Oreochromis niloticus: one gene and its partner. The protein of the gene in region 1 interacts with the protein of each later gene in a pairwise test. Links are inferred from orthologs where the notes say so. Each region holds a gene or a part of one and is shown in the gene's direction. Other genes may lie near its edges.

Region 1 (7,619 bases):
CAGCAACTCTTGAAGGACATGGAGAGGTTGCTTGGATGCTGGAGAACCTTCCTTCTACCCCTTTCATTGGATGCTGAGCTTTCCAAACAGACCCAACACCTTTACCACGCATTATCTGCAAGGGGAGTGCCAGTGGAAGAAGAGATGTTGAAGGTGGGTTTTTTTTTGTTTGTTTTCGTTTCATTTCCATGGATCTTTAACATCAGCTTCTAATTGATTATTCTGACCACTAATGCCTCTGACTTGTCTTAGGTTCTGCTTTCTGCATCTCCTGTGCTATCTGAAGACGACTTGAAACAATTTGCTCTTGGAGTTTCTCCACAGTGGGACACTGAGTGTGATCAGCTTCTTCACACTGCTGTGTCCCAGCTCTTACAGAGGGATGAGCCCCGAAATCATGTGGTTCTAATCCTTGACAAGGTTGGTTTCATAATCTCTGTGAAATACTGAATTCACTTTTATAGCTAATGCAGGCATGTGTGTCACTACGAGTTGAAAAGCATCACTGCAATGTATCACTTGTGAGAAGACAAAGTATTTGCTGCTTATCAGCTTTTGTACTTTTTGCTGCAGTACCTTCAGAAGTTGCCGTGGGAGAGCATTCCCGTCTTAAAGTCTAGCTCTGTAAGTCGGATGCCTTCTCTGCACTCGCTGCTTGGACTGAGCATTCAAAAAGAGGTATGATTAAGCTCTATAACTGTCAGGTAGGACTCATACATGTATGTTAAGGCTTTTAACATTCACACCTCTCATTAACTGCAATGCTAATAAAGACATTCCCATGCCGTCAAGGATTAATGCAAAGTGTCTGTATTGCTAATGAAACAGTTGATTTCAATAGTTGCAATGTTATCGTTATTTCAATCATTCTTTTAGACTGACTCCGAGTCTATTTTGAGGCGTGGTGTGGATGCAAAGAAAGTGTTTTATGTGCTCGATCCTGATGACAATTTAGGGAACTCTCAGGAGCGTTTCAAAGACTGGTTTTGCAGGTGAGACTGAAACATGTCAGTAATTGAGCACAAGTCCATGCATAAATGTTTTTCATCAGTTCAGTTTTCTATTCTCATTAAAGTAAACCGGACTGGGAAGGAGTGTGTGGAATTGCACCTGACTTGGGCCGACTAGAAGAAGCTGTTGCTACAAAAGACGTCTACATGTGAGTTTCAGTTTTATAAGTAAAAATTAACTACAGATTCAAACCCCTTTATTGTTTGAAGATTTTTCTGTATTCAAGATTCACTTTAAAATTCTTTTAAAAAAAGGTCTCCGTTAAAAACACATTAAAACCAATAATGGCAACCTGAATGAACTATATATATCTATATCTATATATATCTATATATATATCTATATCTATATATCTATATATGAGAGAGAGAGAGAGAGAGAGAGAGAATAAAAAATAATAATAATTGTAAAAAATTAACTCTGCAAGCAGACCACTAAGCACTGTGATGGACTCCAAGGCAATACTCTCATCTTGGCAGCATCTTGCTATGGGTGTACCTGTCAGGGTTTAAGGGAAAGAGGTGAGAGTTTATCTATTAGTAAAAATAATTCAGCCACGGTCTTGTTGGAGTAGCTTGAGGACAAGTCTGCCTGTGTCTGAGTGACCCAGCCAAAGAATGAGTCCAAATCCATGTGTGCATAGCTTGTAGAGATGTGTACAAAAATACCCAAAGCTTAATGTCCTACTTGAGGGCCTTCTGGAGATAAGTAAGGGTCAGTGTGCAGAAAGTGAAGGTGTCTGGATGGTGACCCTGAGCTTTAGTGTAGATCGTTCACACTGGGACTGATTTCTTTATCAAGTGGGTGAAACCTCAAAAATAAAACTTTCTCTTTGTCAAACATTTAATATTCATTCTATTTTAAATAATGAGGGCTTGTTTTTCTTAACGTTCAGTTCTGTCATCAGATTTCCATCTTTTTTTACCTTGTATTTCTATTTTTTTTTTCTGTTCGTTTTGTGAGTTTCACTGTTTGTTTGGTTTTTTGTTGTTGTTGTTGTTGTTGTTTGTTTGGGTTTTTTTTGTTTGTTTGGTTTTTTTAAATCTATCTCTCCATGATTTTAGTTATGTGGGCCATGGAGCAGGAGCCCGGTTCCTGGACAGCCAGGCTGTTCTCAAACGGCCGCTGAGGGCAGCGTCTCTGCTGTTTGGCTGCAGCAGCGGAGCCCTGGCTGTCCGGGGACAGCAGGAAGGAAATGGCATTGTGCTAAATTACATCATAGCAGGCTGGTAAGATATCTTTGCATTTTCATCCATGTGCAGCTGAATGAAAACTGGATAACATGACCATATGAAATGCACAGCATTTCCTCTTGATGACTGCAGCAGTTATAATAGCTGATGTAAAACATTTTCATTTTATGCATTTATTTTTAACTTGTGCACTACAAACAAAGCACTTATGATTTACAATCGACCCTAAAAACAAAAATTTAAATAAAGAAAAATAAACATGCATAATAATAAAAAGTAAAAATCTGAAAATGTACTTACTGAAAGTTTTGTTTAAAAGGTCGCAATCCTGCTGCATATAATTTTTGATAACATGGAGTGTGATTTTTTTTTTTTTTTTTTTTTTTTTTTTTTTTTTTTTTTTTTTTCCCCTCTCTCTTTTTTTTAATACTGCTGTTGCAGATTTAATTAGAATCTTTTGAAACAAACTGTTGTTAACAGAAGGAATATTTGGGGATCTTATGTAAAGTATCTAGTTTGTAACATGTCTTATGGTCATCATCCTTTTGATTTTTTGTTTGTTTGTTTTAGCCCATTCATCTTGGGAAATCTCTGGGATGTCACAGATCGGGATATTGATCGCTTCACCAAGGCCTTGTTAGAGTCGTGGTTTTCTGCTGGCTCCGGGGCACCGCTCCTCGACTTCATGGGGTCGTCTCGGCAGGCCACTCACTTGAAATATCTGATAGGCGCTGCGCCCGTGGTATATGGCCTGCCAGTGCACTTAACATAGGGTGCTACTGAGGTTAAATCCTTTTTTTTTTTTTTTAAATGCATTTTGAGTATAACATTATTTTTAAACCATTGTTTTGAATTTTTTGTGTGTCAATACGTTTTAAATAACGGGATTTCTTTTAAATTTTTAAATTCATTATTAATGTATAGAATGAACTCCTTTTTAAAATATAATAAATGTTTTTTTTCACACACAATCTGTTGGTGCCCTGTTAATTATGTAGACGTGAAGCCCAGATCTGTCTCCACAATCATCAGATCACAATCTTTGGGAGTTAGTTGACCAGGAGATTGGTATCATGGATGTGCAGCAGACAAATCTGCAGCAACTCTGTGATTCTTTCATGTTAAAATGGAATAAAATTTCTGAGGAATGTTTCCAGCACCTTGCTGAATTTATGCCACAAAGAATGAAGGCAGTTCTGAAGGAAAAAGAGGGTCCAACCCAGTACCAGCAGCGTTTATTTGATAAAGTGGCCACTGAGTGTACGTTGAACCTGGTGCCTGCGATACCTGACACATTTACATAAAGCTCTCTACCTTAAACCAATACAAAAGAAAAGAATAGTAACAGTATAAAAGTGTTTGACACGAAAAATGTCTTCAGAAAGGAGCCACCCCCCCCAAAGCCCATCCTCTCGTATCACAGCTGAGTGTTTTCTAGTCACTGTTTTGAACTTTGCACCCATGGGTCATGCATGGTGTTATTTCTTTGGAATAAATTATTAGTTTTTAACAGCAGTTGGTGGATGTCTACACTTTCTGGGTGCTCTTGCAGTTTTAGTTTTATTTTGTCACAAGCACAAAAAATAAATTTTATATAGGGCCTATATCCAGCAATATTTTTCTTCTTCCTTTGGCCTGAGCAGACTGAAAGCAGATCATCTGCCTCCATCACACTCTATCCCTGGAATCCTCTTCTGTCACACAAACCCTCTGCATACCATCCTTAACTACATCCATGAATATTTTCTGTCTTTCTCTCCTCCTGCTGCTTGGCAGTTCCATCTTCAAGATCCTTTGTCTGATACATTTACCATCTTCAGTTCATTTTCGACTCTGCCACCTCCAATTCGGACTGCTGTGTTTTAGTCAGTGCAGCTATCTCCAAATTGTACATCATAGCATGTCTCACTACCACCTTGTAAACCTTCCCTTTCACACTCGCTGATATCCTTCTGTCACAAATCACCCCGGACACTTGGCTCCACCCTGCCTGCACACTCTTCTTCACCTCTCTTGCGCACTGTCCATTGCTTCAGATGGTTGACTGCAGGTATTTAAACTTATTCTACTTTCACTACCTCTGCACCTCTCTGCCTCTCTCATTCACACATATGTATTCTTTCTTACTTCTATTGACTTTTATTCCTCTTCTCTCCTGAGTATATCCTCACTTCTTCAGGCTCTTTTCCTTTCTTCCTACTCTCACTACAGATCGGTGCCATCTGCAAACACCATAGTCCACAGAAACTCCTCCCTGACCTCATCTGTCAGTGATCACCATTGTAAACAAGAAGGGGCTCAGTGCAGATCCCTGATGTTATCCCAGCTCAAACTTGAACCCATCTGTCAGCCTCACATACTTCTCTGTGAAGAGGCATAAGGAGCTGGTTCACTTCCTCACTTCTCCGCAGTGGGGCGATGTTTCAGACTAGTGACGGTCCAGCTCCATAACCCGGAAACAGCATCGCTAAAGGTCTCTTAGCATCACGCTTCCAACATGGCGGTGAATCTGACAGACCTCTCCCTGCCTCAATTAGAGGGACTGAAAACCCAGCTAGACCAGGTAGTGTGCCTAGTTTGTCCGTGTGTGTGCGAGGAATGTGTCCTTATAAAGGGCTCTAATCAGAGCTTTAAGCGTGCTGAGAACGGGCCCGGGTATTCAGCCGGCTAGCACCACTGATGCTAACAGTGCAAACCCGTTGTTGTTGATGTTGTCGGCACACCTTAACAAGTCAAGCATAAAACCATTGGTTGGTAACCGTGTGCCACTTGTTTTCTACACGTTGTTGTGTCTTTTTGCAGGAAGTTGAGTTCTTGACGTCTTCGATAGGTCAGCTCAAAGTTGTCCAGACAAAGTATGTTGAGGCAAAAGATAGCTTGAATGTCCTGAACAAAAACAATAAAGGTGAGTAATAATTTTAACTTTTGACAGCCTATTAATTCAGTGCACCTCTGGTAGATTGAAAAACATGTTTATCTCAACACTCAAGAGGCGTGAAACTGACTATATCGGCAATAACTCGTATTATTATATATTAGATGAACCGGTATTCAAATGAAATGCAAGTAGCAGCTACTACCCTGTTTATTTACTTCCCCTTTTAACTTGCCAGTTAACTGATAAATGTTATGTAGTGAAAGTGAGGAGCAGGTGGAAGAGAGCCTAGAGAGGTTTGAAAGTCAGCACAAGTGTGAATGTGAGAGAGACGGATGTAACGGTAAAGAGTAGAGGAGTTTAAATACCACAAATGTCCAGAGTTTCCAAAATGAATGCCATGTTGATGTCAGAGTAGAAAGGTCAGACTGCTTTGAGCTGATGGAAGAACAACAGCAACTCAAATAACCACTCTTAATAACTAAGGTCTAGGACATTCATCGGACGTCCTCTATTAAAAATCAACGACACATCCTGGATTATAGTGTACATGACTATCGCAGTTTCAACAAAACAAAAAAGCAAGAGCAAAACACAGAAGCGCTGAGGCACTGATCTGAGCTCATATGTACAACATCAGTTTTGCTAACACAGCGTCACACTCTAATGATATAACCAGTCATCACATTAAAATGACACTTGTTACATCCTTATTAGTTCTTATGACACCCCGCACGACCATTTCTGGCCAAAAACAGAATTCTGCTTTTTCAGTAATGTTCGCTAGAAATCTGTAGCTTAATTTGATTTATTATTTCCTCTTTCATATAGGAAAAGAACTCCTTGTGCCTCTTACCAGTTCTGTATCCTTTTGTTTGCACTGGACAGTAAGTGTTTTGCTGTGTTGTATGATGTGCTTTAAATTAAGTCATGGTTATCTTGAGCTATGCATGTTTGTCCTTGACATTCCTGTTACTCAGATGTATGTCCCTGGGACATTAAATGATGTGGAACACGTTTTAGTGGATGTGGGGACAGGATACTATGTTGAAAAGGTAAAAAAAAATTGCAATTTGAAAAGCCATGAGTGGATTATAATGAAACAAAATGTTTAAATGTGTTTGAGTCGTGTTGAAATTTCTCCTTTTTGTCTCTGCAGAACGTGGAAGACTCAAAGGCATTCTTTAAGCGCAAAATAGACTTCCTCACAAAGCAGATAGAGAAAATTCAGCCAGCCCTACAGGAAAAGCATGCCATGAAACAAGGTAACTTCCTTATCTCGGTGCACCATCATACCATGTGACATTATACTGGTTCATATTAAGCACTGTATGAGTCAGAATTCTGGCTGGGTTGTAGGGGGATCAAATACTTATTTTACTCAATGACATGCATGTTTCTGGACTTCTTATTTTTATTTTTTTCTTCAATTAAAATGAAATTATCCTAAAAATTAGATGACAGCAATTATGATTATTTTCACAACATTAATGCGGAATCTTTTTGAATACATGGTACTGATGGCTTGAACCTCAGTCTTTAAACTTTACCTTCATTTTGATCTCATCGACAAAGCTTCATGTGTGTATCTTACAGAGTTGTGATACTGTTGTGTTGACAGATTGTGCTAAATAACAACCAAATTACTAATAGTGCCTTTGCAGTTGCAGTTGTTCCCAGTACAGAAGGTGTCTTCATAAACACATTTCATCATCATTGACAAAAACATAGACTTACAAGGTGAAGATGATATCAGCTAAAAATCCATGTCCACTCATGTGATGAACCGCGTTGTCCATTGGATAATAAGTTTGCAATGCGACATAACTCCCCCACATCTTCACTGTGTCTGTGCCAGGCATCATACTCGTCCTCATTCTGTCTGTTTTTTTTTTTTAGTTCGTTTAGCCTTTGGCTTTTTTACAGTACAGTTTTTGTTTTATACACTAAAGAGTAGTGAACTAAATACATAAGTAGCTTTCATCATAGCTAGCTAATATGAATTTTGATGAATTAACCTATAAAGATGACATTTGATGACCTCCCCTGTACCCTCAACCTACTACACTAATGCTGGGTGATTTAACCCATGTGTAAGTTATATAAAACAGCATGTTAGTGTTGTTGGGTTAGTAACGACTTTACACCTTGGCATTTATCAATGAAGATGTGGTTCAACAACCATTAGAATAGTATTCAGGTTTATCCAGGGGTAACTAGGGGCAGAAACCCCCTCACTAACTTTTGATGCAAACACACTCATTTTGTTCTAATAGTCAGGAATTAAATATGACAGAAACCACTCAGAAAAGAGTTTCAAGGGTTATTCCGAGTAAGCTATGAAGGGTAATCGAGCTAAAATACAATAAAAGTCCTTCATCAAATCACCTGTGTGAATAGTTCAAATGTGAAGAAAAGCAATGTTTTCAGCTCCTCCCATCCAACAGGAACAGCATGCTAAATTAAGAAACTGCTCAACTGAAAGTCATTTGTATCCTTATGAACTGCTCAATCTTTAAATTTGGCACATTTCCTGCCCC
Region 2 (6,895 bases), on another chromosome or scaffold:
CAGAACCTTCCCTCACAGGTCGACAAAAAACTGAATGATGCACACAGAAACATGATGATCCTATTCAACAGGTTTTCGGGAATTGTAATTAACCACAGTAGTGACAATAATGGATACAGGCTAATGATGGTGGTTGAGTTTAATGATGTTAAATATATTTTGATTTGTGTTTATAATAATAATAAAAATAATGGATTGGATTTATATAGCGCTTTTCAAGGCACCCAAAGCGCTTTACAATGCCATTATTCATTCACGCTCACATTCACACACTGGTGGAGGCAAGCTATGGTTGTAGCCACAGCTGCCCTGGGGCAGACTGACAGAGGCGAGGCTGCCATATCGCGCCATCGGCCCCTCTGGGCAACACCAGTAGGCGGTTTATGGTTATAACAAAAGAGCACAGATCAAACAACTTTACTCTTCCTTGAATAAGATGTTGGAGGAATGGAAAGTGACCTATAATACTCCAACACTGAGAAAGTCATAGTTGGAGGAGACTTTAATTTGGTCCCTGACGTCTATATGGATCGCCCTCCTCCAAGAAGAAATAGCCACTATTATGAGGAGATTGTAGCTGAATTTATTACTAAAGGAAATCTAATTGATTTTTGGAGAATGAGAAATCCCAATGTCAAACAATTCACATGGTACAATTGGGCTAATAATGGTCAATGTTCAAGGTTAGACTTTGGTTAATGTCTACTAACCTGATAAATAAGGTCCCTAAATGTGAAATATCAGCATCACCCCTGACTGACCACTGTGCTATTTCAATGTCTTTTCAACCAGGTGGGGTTAAGCATATCCCTAACTATTTATGGAAGTTTAATTTTGCAATGAAACAAAAAAACTTGTTAAACGAAATTAATCTACTGGAAATGTCACCCTTGAGTAAATGGGAATGGTTTAAAATTTAAAATCAAAGAGGTTGCCATAATAATAAGTAAAGGCATCTCAAAAGTTAAAAAAAAGAAACAACATGATATTATTAATCATATGAACAGATTACGTCAAAAAGAAGACCCATCTGTAGAAGAACAAATCAAACTAAATAATCTTCAAAATCAGTTGGATAGTTTATATCTGGAAAGAGCAAAAGGAGCATTTATACGCTCAAGAGCTCGTTGGCTTGAGGAAGGTGAAAAAATACTTCTTATTTCTTTGGCCTGGAAAATCAAAGACAAACAAAAAAGAAAATCAATAAACTACTTGTTAATAATCTTAGGAATGATAGCCAAGAACAAATAAATGAGGAAATAGAACATTTCTATAAGAAATTATATAAATCTAACTTTTCACTCGATGATTGTCAAACATTTTTTGAAATAATTAGGCCAAGTAGTACAATAATTGATGAGTCTTTTAGGCAACACTTAGAATAGATAGATAAACTTAGAATTGCAGAGCTAGATAAAGCAATTGGGCATATGTCAAAAGGAAAGTCACCAGAACTGGATGGGTTAACAGTGGAATTTTATATTCATTTTTGGAATGATATCAGGGTACTGCCTTGTAATGCCTTTTTGAATGTACTTCATCTGGTCATCTCTGTCGTCTACCATGAAAAGGGGTGTCATCACATTAATTCCAAAACCCAGTAAGGACAAACTATTGCTGGATAACTGGGGACCAATTACTTTATTATGCAATGAATACAAGTTGCTAGCTCATATTTACTCCAATAGATTGGATTTGGGGCTATCCAAAATAGTGGATGAGTGCCAGTCAGCCTTTGTGAAGGGTAGAAACATACATAACCACACTAGACTGATTCTTGGCCTGCTAGACTACAGAGAATTTATCACAACAGTGTTGTTTCTGGACTTCTTCAAGGCTTTTGACACAATCGAGCATTCCTTTTTGTTAAAAGCTTTAGAATTTTTGGGCTTTGGAAGTAAATTTTGCAACATGGTTGAAATGCTTACACTGACATCAGTAGCACGGTCTCCTTGAATCCAGGAGTCATTCCTGGATTCAAGGCGCAACGAGGAATCTGACAAGGATGCCATATTTCCCCAAAGCTTTTTATATTGGCAACTCAATTCTTAACACTATTAATCAAAAATTCTAACAACATACAAGGAATATCAATTTTTAACAAAGAGTTCAAAGTCAGTTTGCAGATGATACATCTATCTTTTTGAAAGATAAATCAATGGTAGATAAAACTTCAAGTACTATCTCAATCTTCTCTAAAGCTTCCGGTTTATCTCTTAATATCAAAAAATGTGAACTACTTCCGATTCATACAAACGTGTACTGTTGTACTGTTCCAAATTTTCATTTGTATTATTACCTGTGTTATCCTCTTTGAGAGTTTGTATTTTACATTGCTCAAATACAAAAAAGAAATCTAGGTAGCTAGTGACCAGCTGTTTGCCACACACAACCTTTTGCAGCTGGCAGGTGGTGGGCAGCCCTCTTCCAAAAAAGCAAAGAGAACATATTTAGAAAACAACAAGGGGAATAACTGAGTGTACACTTAGGGATCACTTTTGAATACATAAACTTATTCCTGGGGTTTTAATTAGTGCTGTTTTTCCAGAGCCATTCACATAGATCAGACAGCCCCCCCCCCCCCCCCCCCCCACACACACACACACAACATGTGTCTTTTGTTATTACTGTGTATTGTTGTAAACACTGACTGTATAAAATATGAATGTTCATTTTCTGTATTGGAAAACCGAAGCCAAAGTGTCTTAAACCTGCATTCTGTCTAAAGACCACCAGATGCTAATTGCTGTAGTTTCAAAAACACTTCAGGTCCTATAAATGTCTATGGAAAAGCCTCTGTAAAAAACTTTCCTGCTGAGTTTATAGTCTTAGTCACTCATAAATAATATGAAAAACTCTAATGTTAAGGCATTAAAATGGGATTTCATAAAGGAATGAATTCGCCATAGAGTGTAAATAGACAGATTCTTTATTGATCACGCAAGGGAAATTGCCGTCTTGCAGCAACACCACCCTCTACAGGAAAGGGCAGAGCAGGCTGTACCTGCTGCGGAGACTCAGGTCGTTTGGAGTGGAGGGCCCACTCCTGAAGACCTTCTATGACTCTGTGGTGGCCTCAGCCATCTTCTATGGTGTGGTCTGCTGGGGTGGCAGCATCTCTGCTGGGGACAGGAAGAGACTGAACAGGCTGATCAGAAGGGCCAGCTCTGTTCTAGGATGCCCTCTGGACCCAGTGGAGGTGGTGAGTGACAGGAGAATGGTGGCTAAGCTGTCATCCCTGTTGGACAACATCTCCCACCCCATGCAGGAGACTGTGACAGCACTGAGCAGCTCCTTCAGTGGGAGACTGCGGCACCCACGGTGTGGGACGGAGACATTTCGCAGGTCTTTCCTCCCCACTGCTGTCAGACTCCACAACAAAGACTTCAACTGATCAAACACACACATCCACACATGTGCAATAACACTAATGTGCAATAATCTTTTCTGGCATCGTTGTATTTTTACTCAATTGTATATAGCATTTGTATTCTATTCTTATCTTATTGTATATTTTATTCTATTTTATTCTACTGTATATAGTATTTTATTTTATTCTATTCTGTACAGTTGTGTACTGTATTTATTCTTATTTTATTTTATTCTAATTTTTCCTTCATAACTTTTGCACTGTCCACTTCCTGCTGTGACAAAACAAATTTCCCACGTGTGGGACTAATAAAGGTTATCTTATTCTTATTCTTATAAGAAGTAAAAATAAAAATTGTATAATCCACAATAAAAACAACATAGGCAGTGTAACAATGTAATTTGAGGTCCATACAGTAATTGGTCCATACTGAAGGCCTAGTAATGTGAAGTAGTCAAAAATTTCACATACTACAGTGATTAAAAGAAAATAATACCATAATGAAAAGTCACACTTTATTTTATTCATTTCTATACAGGCAATCGCGTAAACCAGCCCTGTACGTCTTTCCTGGGTCCCTCGCAGCAACACCCTTCCAAGATGGCAGCCAACAGTAGCAGCACGGGTAGCAAATCCAGCAACAGCAGCGGTGGGAAACAGTCCGGCCCGTCAGCTGAACAGGTACCCTCCCCTCCACCTCAGGCTGCTTCACCGGTGCAATCGTTGATATTGTTGTCGTTGGGCCTTGTGCGGTGGAGTTACAGCCACCAGTTTGAGTCCCGGATAGCTAAAGCTAACGTTAGCTTCCCATCGCAGTGAGCCAGGTGTCCGGCCATCAGTCTGCTCTCTAACAAGCAGCTGGTGTTAAACATGAAGATTTAAGCGTTCATATAATGAGCTGGGGTCAGGTGTGCGCTTCTAGAGAGCGGTTTATGGCTGTTAGACGTATTTAAATGTGCGCATGTGTGTAACGAGATGGTGTAGCTGTGTGAATAGAAGATGCTATTTTTATAACTGAAGACCACCCAGCCCGACTCAATCAACGTGAAGCCACATTACTCAGATATTCATAAAGTATCTGTAATGATGAACTGAGTTTGCCGTAAAAGTCCTGCAGTGTAGCTGCTCTCAACAAAAGTATGTGGAAAGCGATTAATGTGATCAATGCAATGGTTTCATGTGGTGCTCCTGCAGGCTGTCCATCATGGATCAGTTTGCGTTTGTTGGTGTCAGCTGCCCTCTGCTGTCCCAGCGCAGCACAGAACAGCATAGAGTACGGCAGTGACCATCACAGACTCATGCTGAGCGGATATTAAAATACCTCAGTCATCTCAGAAAATAGTGATGGCTGTGTATGTTCTTGTAGAGAACTTATGTGTTTTTAGTGAAGTCTGGTTAATTGTTAATGTGAACATTCCTTGACAGTTTCCACTGGTAGAAACAGGGCTCACTGATTTTGATCACCAGGAGGCGTTTAAGTTACTTGAAATTAAAATGCCATTATTTTTATGATATAGCCAAAAAAATTACTGAAAATGTGTGAATTTCTGAGTGTGGTGAGGTTACATAGACTTTTACACCTTAACTATGTGTGGATCAGACATGCTTACATGTCCGGTCATCTCCAAGAAACGTGAATATAAAAATAACATACCATATGCAATAGCTCTGCTGGTCCATGATGGTGCTCACTCTGGTTTTGTGTGGCAGGTGGTGGCAACATTTCAGAGGATGCGTCAGGAACAGCGCAGTATGGCTTCTAAAGCTGCAGAGTTGGAGATGGACATCAACGAGCACAGGTTGGTACAAACCTTCTGATCCGCTCTAAACAGTTTACATTTACAAAGAAGTTTCATGCGGCAGTTCAAGAAAGAGAGAACTGAACATGATTTATTGATACACAGAATTCAGTTATGCTATTTGGCGACTCCGATGCTACGACAGCAGAATGAAATCCTAGTGGCGATAGACGTTATCTAGGCGTCAAGGGTCATGCCTTGACTCTAGGTCCTCATCAAATTCTAGCTCAGGTTCTAGCTCAAGTGCCCCTCCAGCTCATAGAGGATCTCAGAGCAGAAGTCCAAGATGGTGGAGTTTAATCCATCTGACCATGGCTTGCAACACACACTGGGAAGCAGCTAAATTATTTTATGGTTTTACTGCGTGCCTTCTCAAATGTTGGCCCAAATGTGTGCGCGCACACGTGTACACAGAAAAAGCGGACAGATGATAGAAAAACACACACAGCAAGTGTTTATTTCTCACTTCCAGTATTAGGAAACATTTGCATGTTTGCAAACAGTACTGATTGCAAACACTTCATTGGCACAACCGGAACAGGTAGCTGGTTTGCAGCAGTTACTTTGGTAACTGAGTTTAAGTAACTGATCTTAAAACGTTTAAATATAAAAGTAAATAAATGCTTAAATGAGGTGTCAGAAATACTTGTATGGGTATTAATATACTTGGTGGAAGACCTGATGGCTGAGTAGTTATTCCTGTTATACTTCTTTTAAGTTCACCTCCCAGAGTGGATGTGTGGTCAGTGCATGGTGAAATAAAGTCTCCGTGGATAAGTCCTTGTAGACACATGGACCCTCACACTCACTGTCTGATGATGAAATTTATGATCCTAGTGGACTTGTGGATGTGGAGGTTAATTGAGACTTATGGCCTGACGTTATAAGCATCTAAATACGTAATAAGCTCCAGGGCAGACCAGGTGGTGCATGTGAATGTAACACTGAATGCATGTCCTTAGCCGCAAATATTTCACAATCTGGGGAATCACAATGTCAGCTACCAGCTGAGGCATTCCTGTGATACCTTTTGAGTTGAATACGTTTTCTTTTTAACATTTCTGTTTTCCATTCAGCTTAGTAATAGACACATTGAAGGAGGTGGATCCATCGAGGAAATGCTTTCGTCTAATAGGAGGAGTGTTGGTGGAGAGGACAGTAAAAGAAGTTCTACCTGCCTTGGAAAACAACAAAGAACAGGTGATGGAAGAGGAAATGATAGCATATTACAGTTTTCACACTGTGCTCTGCTGTTTAATAGCTTCATATATTGTACACAGACTCTTATTTCGCTCACGATTTAATTTTCTTCCTCCTCCTATCTTCACAGATCTCCAAAATAATCGAGTCCATCAACTCACAGATGCAGACGAAGGGGCGGGAGCTCACAGAGTACAGGGAACGCTACAACATACGTTTGGTGGGAGAGGGCGAAGGAGAGGAAAAGGGCCAGTCAGCCGCTCCCTCCAGGGACAGCGAAGGAGGCGGATCCAAAAGCGGAGCCGGTGTTTTAGTTTCATAGGTAGTGAGCATGGACAGTGACAGCAGGGCCCTTTGATTTCTGCAGTGCTGAACACGTAGATGGAGTCACACAGTTTAGGTGGAAAACAAACTCTTTGCAGGATAACTCTGGATTTGAAGTTTACTGAAATCTCTGCTTAATCTAACGCACTTGTTAATTTGCAGCAGGTATATTCTGCTTCCTTATGTTCAGTGTGAAAGTTAA

What was found. The genes of interacting proteins can lie anywhere in the genome.
Region 2: the proteins of pfdn5 (region 1) and pfdn2 interact in binary tests that used the Homo sapiens proteins (3 or more experiments, as listed by UniProt). The link is inferred for Oreochromis niloticus from reciprocal best matches to the Homo sapiens genes PFDN5 and PFDN2.

What each region holds. Positions count from the first base shown.
Region 1 is NC_031970.2:23,616,762-23,624,380, forward strand, and holds the start of pfdn5 (prefoldin subunit 5), read left to right. Parts: upstream 1-4,609; 5' UTR 4,610-4,701; coding exon 4,702-4,767; intron 4,768-5,006; coding exon 5,007-5,109; intron 5,110-5,910; coding exon 5,911-5,942; intron 5,943-6,059; coding exon 6,060-6,134; intron 6,135-6,238; coding exon 6,239-6,344; intron 6,345-7,619. Other genes in the region: espl1 (separin), read left to right, coding at 4-153, 253-420, 574-678, 877-992, 1,076-1,159, 2,076-2,240, 2,775-2,976. UniProt on the Homo sapiens protein: Binds specifically to cytosolic chaperonin (c-CPN) and transfers target proteins to it. Binds to nascent polypeptide chain and promotes folding in an environment in which there are many competing pathways for nonnative proteins.
Region 2 is NC_031967.2:23,683,056-23,689,950, forward strand, and holds the start of pfdn2 (prefoldin subunit 2), read left to right. Parts: upstream 1-3,895; 5' UTR 3,896-3,970; coding exon 3,971-4,051; intron 4,052-5,080; coding exon 5,081-5,169; intron 5,170-6,245; coding exon 6,246-6,369; intron 6,370-6,499; coding exon 6,500-6,691; 3' UTR 6,692-6,895. UniProt on the Homo sapiens protein: Binds specifically to cytosolic chaperonin (c-CPN) and transfers target proteins to it. Binds to nascent polypeptide chain and promotes folding in an environment in which there are many competing pathways for nonnative proteins.